Saccharomyces cerevisiae S288C: one gene and its partners. The protein of the gene in region 2 interacts with the protein of the main gene of each other region in a biochemical or structural test. Each region holds a gene or a part of one and is shown on either strand. Other genes may lie near its edges. The genes, in order: MEI5, RFA2 and IME2.

Region 1 (3,154 bases), on a different chromosome or scaffold from region 2:
AATATGATGACGCTATCGTAGAAAGCTGCCGAGTGATTTCGCTTATTATTTCTAATGTTGTTTCTAATGATTTATCAAACTTCGTTTCCTTGCGGAAGATTCTCCCCAAATTGAAATTCTCATCATAGTAGACAGGCAGAATCAACCAATCACCGGGAGCGTTCGTAGTGGAATTATTATATTCGACACTGTTAACCATTCTTTTCTTGATTTTGGAAAATGAACCCATCGGTTGTAATTCGTAGTCTACTAAATTTATCTTCAGGTTTTTGTTTATGGTAGCCAGTAAAAGAATCAATTGGCCCAGTGCTGCATTGATTTCCTTCCAAGGTACCACTGATTCTGGTATACTGCCTAATCTCAATCCATTTATAGTGGCAAAGGGGCCGCTATGTGAGATTTTGAATGTAGCATTGAAAATATTGATTTTCCTCAACTTATCTAATTGATTCAAGGATAATTCGTATTGCAGTTTTAATGACTGTAAATTTTTGTTGAATTGAATGTTATTTAAATCCATTAAATTCTGATCACTCAGTTTTTGGAGTTTCTCATTTTCCAGTTGAACTTTCTTTTCTTGTAAACGAACTAGTTCTCCATCTAAGTCATCATCTGTCATTTCCAAACGTAATAATTGATCCAAGAGTCTTTCCTCTTCCTTTTTCAAATTTTCTTTTTCCGAAAGATTATGGGAATACTGCTTTTCTTTATTGCTTTCTGATATTTCTTTGTTTTGACTCTCTAACTTCGATAAAAATTGAGCGTAAGTATCTCTCTCTTTTATTGCATCATCATACTCACTTTTTAGTCTGTTTATCAAGATGTTACAGCAGTCCTGACAGATAGGAAAGTCTATGTTTGTTTGAGAAGATAGAATGTTAAATACATTAGTCATTGCGTTGACTTGTGTGGACAAAGTCTTGGAATTCAATTGTATTTGTTGGTTTTCGTCCTCATCCGTAGCTTCTTGTTCCTCTTCGTCATGATCTCGAAAGGTACTGGTTCCATCGGAAGTATCACTATTAGCTTTTTTATTATCATTTCCGTTGGCATTTCCATAACGCTGGTCCTCTCTGCTATTACTCGTAATATTAGCATTATCATCATCATCGTGATTAAGAAAAACAAACGAATCAGTGATTAATTTATCATCTTTTAAATTCAAGTCTTTTATGTTCTGAATCTCCCCTAATCGCCTCAGCCTCTCCTTCGGTATTTGAGGCCCACAATTATCTGCGGCTTCGATGCCCTTGTTGCTGATGACATTTTCATTCGTTGCAGTGATAATTGAATTATTTGAAAGTAGCAAATTTCTTTGGGTTAAACTAAGACCTTCTAAAGATGGGTCTAGTTGCAGGGGTAAGTGACATGTTTGGCACTTCATTTTAATGCCCGTGTCTGGGAGTCTTTGCGAAAACAGTGACTGCCATAAAACGTAACTGAACTACCTAATGTGCTCCCATAGCACTACCCTTTTACTTCTATGAGAGCAAAATCCCCAGGCGGGTGACACTTAAGTACTACTAATGAAGGTAAAAGGACTATGTAATTCGATTATACCACCAGTCCATACTTCCCGATAGTTGATTTAAAATACACCTGGTTCGAACTATTTCTCTCTTAGTTGACACTTTATATACCAACTTTCTATATGAAAGTGATCATTTTACTATAGGATTAGCCGCGGAAAAAGTATTAGCCGCCCAAACTTCTATGTACCTTCCGCATAAATAGGAAAGAAAACAAGAAACTTGAACTTAAAATACTTCCACATCACAAGTATACTTTCCAGGAAAAGCACCAAATTACAGTTATCTAATAGTAATGCACAATCAGGAAGAGTGGCTAGACAAGGACAAAACTTTGGTGAACGAAGAAGAAAATACTTGCATCAACCATTCTTATACAAAAAAGGACACTAATAACTATCGGGTCGGTAAAAGCGGTATTAAGGACTTGAAGAAGCCTACGAACCAGAAGGAAATTGCGATAAAAAATAGGGAGTTAACGAAACAACTTACTCTTCTCAGGCAAGAAAATAATCACTTACAGCAGGCTTGTAAAATTCTCAGCGAAAACAAGATCATTGAGAACAGAAAATCCATAGAAAAATGGAGGACAATTTGTGAGATGGAACTGTCTTTTATTTTAAATTCCACTTTAATCAAAATCAATAGAATGGGCGGCTATAAAGATTTTCTAGAAAAAGAAATGGAGGCTAAAAAGAGAAGATTGGAATATCAGATTGACAACGGTATGGAAGATCAAATCTGTGAAATAAAGGAAAGTGATGACTTTAGACAACTTTCAGAAGTTGAGAAACAAGAGTGGGAGAGTCAAATGAATGAACAGCTGAAAGAGTTGGAAAAAAAAAAAATAGCGGAGCTGGAAAAATTGAATAAGGTGCTGCATGATAGCGAAGGGAAAGATTTTGGAATGGCTGAACTATGCACTAGGTTAAAACTTGACTACAGCTTAATCTTTCCACAATGAAAAATGCGTAAAACGTTTATTCATCTTGCATTTCTATTAGGTACGCGATTACTGAAAAAACGAATGTATTTTTTTGTTGTAGCGCAAATTACGCACCATCATATATTCACATATAACCTAACTTCATCGTCAGAATACAATACTAGTAACTTAGCATTAAAAGCCACCATCAAAGGGAAGAAGTGAACAATATAATGAGTGACTATTCCCTGAAGCATTCGGTCACTCAGTATTTGGAAGAAATTCCTCAACAAGTTCAAAATAGGCTTTATACCTCACCAGCTACATGTCTGGCTATCTATAGAATTTTACCACCACTAGCTAAATTTTTTATCATGGCAATGGTTTTCAACGAAAATGAAGTACCTTTGTTGGATTTAGATAAATGGGTTAACTCTAATGGTAAATTGCAGTTTCAGAATGCAATCAAATCGATGAAGTCTTTGCATCTTCTTATACCAAATAAATCATCTGGTACTTTGATGATCAACCTAAACCCAACATTCAAAATCAGCCTGAGGAACGCATTAACGGGTGGGGAAGTTCAAAACTCATTCGGTGTGGTTGTAGAGGAAAACGTAGTTAGCCTGGACTTGTTGGATGAATATTCAGCTAATAAATGGGAAACAATATTACATTTCATGGTTGGCACTCCCCTCGC
Region 2 (3,131 bases):
AACAACTCTGTAAGGCGTTGCCTAAGAGATAGTTTAATCAAATTGAAGAACCGAACCATCGAATATAGAGATTTAGATGTGGAGGAGTTCTTACAAAATGTGACATTGGAAAATTTTTTCAATGATTTCCAAGATCCAGAGAATTTTAAAGATATTCCAAATATTAACCTCTGGTGTTTCCTGAGAAATTTGTCAAAATTCAAAGCTGTCAAAATAAGAATGCTGAGACATTTTTCATTATGTACACCTAGAACCAGATACGACTGGGAACTATTATTGAAGCCCGTACTGCGTGTAAATGTTCCCATTGAAGTCAGAGATAAGGACGGATTCGTTCTTTATTCTTACGGGCAAAAATAAATGACTTTTTGTAGTGGACTTTATATAGCATATTTATGCAACCAACTTAATATTCATGCATCTTACCCCTTCTTGGAACGGGTTCCATTTTCCACTCTATTTCCGGCAAATTTTGGTACTTACCTAGTAGAAATACACAAACGAATACTAAGAAATGCTAAAAAAATAATCTATATATTTTCATAGGGCAAAGAAGTTATTGTCATCAAAAGTTGGGTAGATAAAACCCTGGTCAGTCAAGGTCGTACAGCAGTTTCTGACGGTAGTTTCATCCAAATTCAAGGATTGCGAGATCAATGGAATGGGAACAGCGAATGAATTAGCGTCTTTGCCCTCACATTGCTTCTTACAAAATTCTAGAATTCTTTGTAACGGACTGGAGCCGGAAGATGTATCGTTATCATCCTTGACAAATAATGATTGCCCATTGTTGTTGGATGCACTCTCCAAAGGTTGTTTCATCATTCCACTGGCTATGGAATGACATTTGATGACTTCCAAGTGATGCGTCAACACTTCATTGAATGAATCTATGGGCTTAATCACCGCATACTGTATATTTTTCTTACCACCAAACTCTTTCAAAGCACCAAAAACTTTTACGTAACCGCCAATTTCAAATTGTTGGGCGACTTGCGAACCATAACCTTTACCAGAAGAGTCATCGTTACCGGCAGCCAAGTCATTTGCATCTTCGCTCCATTTTCTCACTTCTATTTGACCAGTTCCATCCTCAATAGTTAAAAAAATATTTGCAGTATGGTCTGTAATGTTTCTCACCACACCTACAAAACAAACGTGATGAAGTTCTTGGTTATGCGAAACGAAGGGGCCGTCCTGAATATCCTGTTTGGACTCTAGAATTTGTTTGATCGTCACAGGTGTCAAGGTGTTAACTCTAGTGTTAGTTTCCGACTCCCCACTACCTGGGCGGGACTCAGAGTTCTCAAAGCCACCGCCCGTTACTGATGAATATTCGTTATATGGTTGATAGGCTGTATTGGAATCCCATCCATTGTTAGTAATTTTAACATTCGCCAATAAAAATAAAAAAAATGATGCAGAAAAGAGCAAATCCTCCAATTCCTAGCACTAATACATACTTGCCATTATGTATATGCTTAAACTAGCCTGTTCTAGATAGTCGCTATCGATTTTGCCACATTACTTCCACCTTAAGTTGATATAATATTGCTTATTATAAAGGAAAGAACGCGTTTCCTAACGCGTTTCGTATATGGCGATAATTATCTAAGAAACTTCGCATCGTGAAAAAAAAGATGAAAATTGAAAATGGAAGCTCATCGAGGCCAAAGGAATTGCTAAAAAGAAGCTATCAGACCAGGCAAAAAGTAAACTAGTGGTTGCAAAATTATGGAGACGTTATTGCATGCAAAATTATTGCTGTCTGCAGAAGTAGAATCTCTGAAAAGTGGTTCTTTCGACCAGACATATGTGAAAAAGGCTGAACATATCATCAGTGGTGAATCATACCAGCTAGTACAGCAATTTGTGGACAAATTTAAGGGAAAAATTAGTATTTCGGGAGAAATATCCACATCTAGTGTTATTGCTGCTCTAAATGACTTTCTTAACGTTGAGGTTTTCAAAATGGGCCAAGAAAATGAGATGCTATTTTTGGCTATTGCCCTCTTACAGACCTTTATTCAAAATAACTACACCGGCCCAGCAGCTAGGTTGAAAGCAATCTCAGGTTTGTTTGGCAAAACTGGAATTGAAATAGGAGCAGTTAATACAGCCCTTTCCCGCTCATTAGCCATTATGGGCCAGCCTGCCTACGAATTTATGGATGATCCATTGTATTTGGTTTTATCACTATTATTACTTGAAAGGATAACCGGCCAAAAAAGCTTATTTGATGTTACCCCGGATCAAGAAATTCCGCTACCTATTATCTCTGCTGAGTCTACTCCTGGATTATTAGCTGTAGCTTATTGGTGGTGGGCAAGAGCTCTTTTGACGCAATTGTCACTGATTCCAGAACCTTCTGGGTTCCAAGCTAGTGTTGCATCTGCAATATATCAGTCTGCTGACCTTGCATATGCGATAACTAAGGAATTACCGGAGAGTATTCACGAAGATTTCAAAAGAGAACTTTGTGCAATGTACTATCTAGAGAATGTCAAATGTTCATTGGCCATCAACACAGAACATTTGTGCCTGCCATCCTTGACCAGAGCGAAAAAGATAACAAATTTTGAATTTGTAATGACGGGTGCACGCGCTACTAGAACTAAATATCAGCAAAAGGCTCATGCCGGTTTGATCATTCTTGCCAAATCCTTCACATTTCAAAATTTTGCTTTGAGAACGACATCTGCTACACCAGAAACATTTGCTTTAGAGTCCGATCTATTATTGGAGAAGCCTCATTTTGAGTCCATTGCTGATGAACCTCTAGACGAGCAAATTTATAGTAAAAGACAAAAGGTAGACCTAAATGAAGGTTATGAAGAAGATAAACTATTGCCATTGGCACTACGTCAAGAAAATATTCCAAAGTTGTTGCTGGATTTGAACCCTAACGATCAACCTACCCTATCTGATTACGACAACATCCAGTTGCTGTTACGTCTTTACACCATAAAGAACACAACTCCGGCCAAGGATCCTCTTGTGGAAGAAGAACTTACTGCTTTGCTTTCTAGAATATTATATCAAAACGGTGACAAAAATTGGTCTATTTTCGCCCGATCATTATGGGAAAGGTCAATTATTGAGACAACAAAGGCTAAAACTATTGAAAGAGG
Region 3 (4,110 bases), on a different chromosome or scaffold from region 2:
TCATTTTCTAGAGCATCCGTATCAGCAGTGAATCTTACATTTTTGTTATCATTATTAGAAATACCTAGATCACTGATGCTTTTACCACTTAAATTGCCTTTTTTGCTCTCGGCTGAATTGGAAGTGCGATGGTCACTACTATCTTCAAGATTCACTCCCGCTTGACTTTGCTCGGAGCTTCCCACCCGAAAATCTGACACAGGAGTGGTTGGTTTTTCATTTCTACCGTCCATTGTATAGCCTATCGGTTATTCGATCTTTTTTCTTTTGTTATTCTATATCTAAAAGATAAAAGTCGCACACCGCTAAGTAAGTAAGTAAGTGTTATATAAGATTTATTTAGCTACGTTCTCAGATATAGTAGGCTTAAAACAAACGTAAAACATAGTTATATATTAATATGCAATTCGGTTTATTTCTTTTTCAAGATTCTTCCGAATTTCGTCATATTGGGTTCGCAATTTTTGGCGATGGCTTTGCTTCGATATTTTTCGGATGAAAATAGTCAAAGGACACTAGAAACACGAATGGCGCGCTGATTACGGAGACGTCGGGCTAAGACAAAGAGGGTCCATTCGGCGTGCTGGTGGTACTGTGACAGATAAACCCAATGCCCCACTTTTCTCGAGGAGTTGAAACAAGCGGGACAACTGCTACGTCATAAAAATGGGAGTACCAAGGGAGGAGCCATAAGCCGGGTAAAATTTGGCGCTGTTTTTCTTAATCTAAAAATAGTTCAACAATAAAATTTGGGCTCCGCCCATCCAGACCAAAGCAATCTTCGGCCTTAACAAGCCAAAGGGAACGAAACCCAGACTCTACCATGCATTTCGAACATGTTGTAGCTAACTACACTGGTAACCCAGATACCTATTCTCTCAGTAGCTGTTTCACCAAGACTCCGCACTCATGGTAAGTAGAAAAAGAAAACTCTCACAAAAATCTGAGTGGCACAGCTTTTCCAAATACGCTTTTTAAACTTGGAGAAATAAAGATGTATTACCCGCTGGTGCCTTAAAATATCCTTTTCTCCGGTTGTCCAATAATTTATGTTACGGCGGCTATTTGAGTTTTTGTGGAAATCTCTATCATTAATAAATGTCAGCCTTGTGTCTTAAATGCAATTCAACAGGGAAAAGGCGCGAGACTTCGGCGGCAAAAAGCCACAGACAAGTGCTGGTTGCAAAGAGGTAAAGAAGTAATGTGTGTAATCAAATAGATATATTAAGGTAGCAACTCACCGGTCTGTCCATTTTCTTTTCCTGAATAACTTCTTCTGTCTTCACACATTCATTTCATTTTTATTTTCCAATATCACTCAACGAGAAAGAAGTTACAAGATCTATCTTTCAAAATAGTTTACAGTTACCTTTACTTTACCCTTTCCCTTTTCAGTTTGTTACCCCTTCTCCTAAAAGTTTTATTTTTTGGGTAAAGATATAAAGGACACTCCAGTCGGTTAAGGTGGCTGTCTAGAGAATATAAACCTGTATTTATTTACCAGGCTTATCAGAAAAGTTAATCGTGTTCTTAAATATTCATTGAAAAGGAACGTGATACAGACGTAATAAAAGAAGAGTACTAAGCTTAACTTAATAGGTCATTTATGGTTGAAAAACGTAGTAGACAGAGTTCCAGTAGTGGCTCAGAGTTCAGTGTTCCACCTGATGTCGATAACCCGCCACTTTCTATCCCTTTGAAGACTTTATCAGACAGATATCAGCTGATCGAAAAACTAGGTGCAGGATCATTTGGTTGTGTAACTTTAGCCAAAGCGCAATTTCCTTTATCGAACATATTGGGTAAACAACATGATATAAGGGGTACTTTAATGGATCAGCCTAAAAATGGTCACCAAAACTATATAACAAAGACACAAGGTGTAGTGGCTATAAAGACAATGATGACAAAACTGCATACACTCCAGGATTATACGAGGGTCAGAGAAATTAAGTTCATACTGGCAATCCCAGCGAATGACCATCTGATACAAATTTTTGAGGTCTTTATTGACTCTGAAAATTACCAATTACATATCGTAATGGAATGTATGGAGCAAAACCTATATCAAATGATGAAACATAGAAGGCGCCGAGTTTTTTCGATTCCTTCTTTGAAATCTATTCTATCGCAGATACTGGCTGGGTTAAAACACATCCACGAACATAATTTCTTCCACAGAGATTTAAAACCTGAAAATATTCTTATCACACCAAGTACCCAGTATTTTGAAAAGGAGTACATGAACCAGATTGGATATCAAGATAACTATGTCATTAAACTTGCAGATTTTGGTTTGGCACGCCATGTTGAAAATAAAAACCCGTATACGGCCTACGTTTCCACAAGATGGTATAGATCGCCTGAAATATTATTAAGAAGTGGTTACTATTCCAAACCTTTGGATATTTGGGCATTCGGGTGCGTGGCGGTGGAAGTTACTGTATTCAGAGCTCTCTTCCCCGGTGCTAACGAAATCGATCAGATATGGAAAATTTTAGAAGTTCTTGGTACACCTATCAAACGTTCTGATTTTGTTAATACAAACCACATCACAGCTCCACCACCTGGTGGATTTTGGGATGATGCCAGTAATTTGGTCCATAAATTAAACTTGAAATTGCCTTATGTAGAAGGTTCATCGTTGGATCATCTACTTTCTAGCTCCCAACTATCCGATTTATCTGAGGTTGTCAAAAAGTGTTTAAGATGGGATCCTAATGAAAGGGCAACAGCCCAAGAGCTTTGTGAAATGCCATTTTTTGAAAACACCGTGGCATCCCAAGTAGACGCAAGAGGCAATGTGACTAATACAGAACAAGCATTGATTTTTGCAGGTATAAATCCAGTAGCGACCAACACAAAGCCCATATATTTTAACTCTTCAACAAAATTGCCCGCAGAAACAGAGTCTAATGATATTGATATCAGCAACAACGATCACGATTCTCATGCTATGTGCTCACCAACATTAAATCAAGAAAAACTAACTTTGGTAGAATTTTTAAACGAATTCGTTGAAGAAGATAATGATGATCACTCAATACCTGATGTTGGAACAGATTCTACCATTTCAGATTCTATTGATGAGACTGAATTATCAAAAGAAATTCGTAATAATTTGGCCCTTTGTCAACTACCAGATGAAGAAGTCTTAGATCATTCATTATCGAATATTAGGCAGTTGACAAATGATATTGAAATTATAAATAAAGATGAAGCAGACAACATGGAACAGCTATTTTTTGACCTGGAAATTCCTGAAAAGGATGAGTTTCAGAGAAAACAACCATTTAATGAACATGCAGATATTGATGAAGACATCGTTCTACCATATGTGAACAACTCAAATTACACACATACAGATAGGTCACATCATAGAGGTGATAATGTTTTGGGTGATGCCTCTTTAGGCGATTCGTTTAATTCAATGCCAGATTTTACTCCAAGAAATTTCTTGATACCTACATTAAAAAAATCACGGGAAAAGTTCGAGCCTCATCTATCCAATTCAAACCAACATTTTGGAAATGTAACCTTCTAATAATTTGTCATTTGACTGACGAATCGTTAGGCACAGTTATATAGTTATATACACATAGACATACATATGTTCGCATATATATTATATTACTATGCATTCACCTAAATAGCTACTGCTCTATTAATACAGTGCTTTTTCGATGGCTTTAATTTAACTTATTAGACATTACTTTGCGTTTATTCCCCTCCAATATATTTTTATGTTTGTTTTTCTTGAACATTTTATGATTTCTTGCTCTTGGCGGCTACTGATTTTGTTAAGCAACTCATCAAGAGGTCAAAAAAAGTAGAACGAGATCTTTGTGTTCGGTTACCCGGCTCAGATCCTAACTTGGTATGTTTATTCGTATAAGTTACTGTTGTCCACAGGCAATACTCTGCAGAAAATTAAAACGGCATTAATGCTAGGACAACCAGAACTGTTACTACTGTATGTGCGATAGTTGATAACTGCAACATTATGCCCGGTATATTCTCAAAAAACCCTATTACTGCATACGAAGAAATCGCAAGAGAAATCTTTCGGTTTGGAAAAGCTCACTGTGAGGTTCCTTGGAGCCAATAGTA

Evidence for each region.
Region 1: the proteins of RFA2 (region 2) and MEI5 form a complex in vitro, tested with the Saccharomyces cerevisiae proteins (one study listed by BioGRID).
Region 3: of the proteins of RFA2 (region 2) and IME2, one has a biochemical effect on the other in vitro, tested with the Saccharomyces cerevisiae proteins (2 studies listed by BioGRID).

The regions. Positions count from the first base shown.
Region 1 is NC_001148.4:320,301-323,454, reverse strand, and holds MEI5 (Mei5p), read left to right. Parts: upstream 1-1,824; coding exon 1,825-2,493; downstream 2,494-3,154. Other genes in the region: VPS30 (beclin 1), read right to left, coding at 1-1,384; TFIIH/NER complex subunit TFB2, read left to right, coding at 2,688-3,154. UniProt on the Saccharomyces cerevisiae protein: Involved in meiotic DNA-break repair. Required for the recruitment of DCM1 to meiosis recombination hot spots.
Region 2 is NC_001146.8:46,626-49,756, reverse strand, and holds RFA2 (Rfa2p), read right to left. Parts: upstream 1,471-3,131; coding exon 1,464-1,470; intron 1,356-1,463; coding exon 541-1,355; downstream 1-540. Other genes in the region: putative SCF ubiquitin ligase complex subunit SKP2, read left to right, coding at 1-360; tetratricopeptide repeat-containing protein EMW1, read left to right, coding at 1,735-3,131. UniProt on the Saccharomyces cerevisiae protein: Binds to single-stranded sequences participating in DNA replication in addition to those mediating transcriptional repression (URS1) and activation (CAR1). Stimulates the activity of a cognate strand exchange protein (SEP1).
Region 3 is NC_001142.9:219,784-223,893, forward strand, and holds IME2 (protein kinase IME2), read left to right. Parts: upstream 1-1,606; coding exon 1,607-3,544; downstream 3,545-4,110. Other genes in the region: YJL107C (uncharacterized protein), read right to left, coding at 1-233. UniProt on the Saccharomyces cerevisiae protein: Protein kinase which is essential for the initiation of meiosis and sporulation.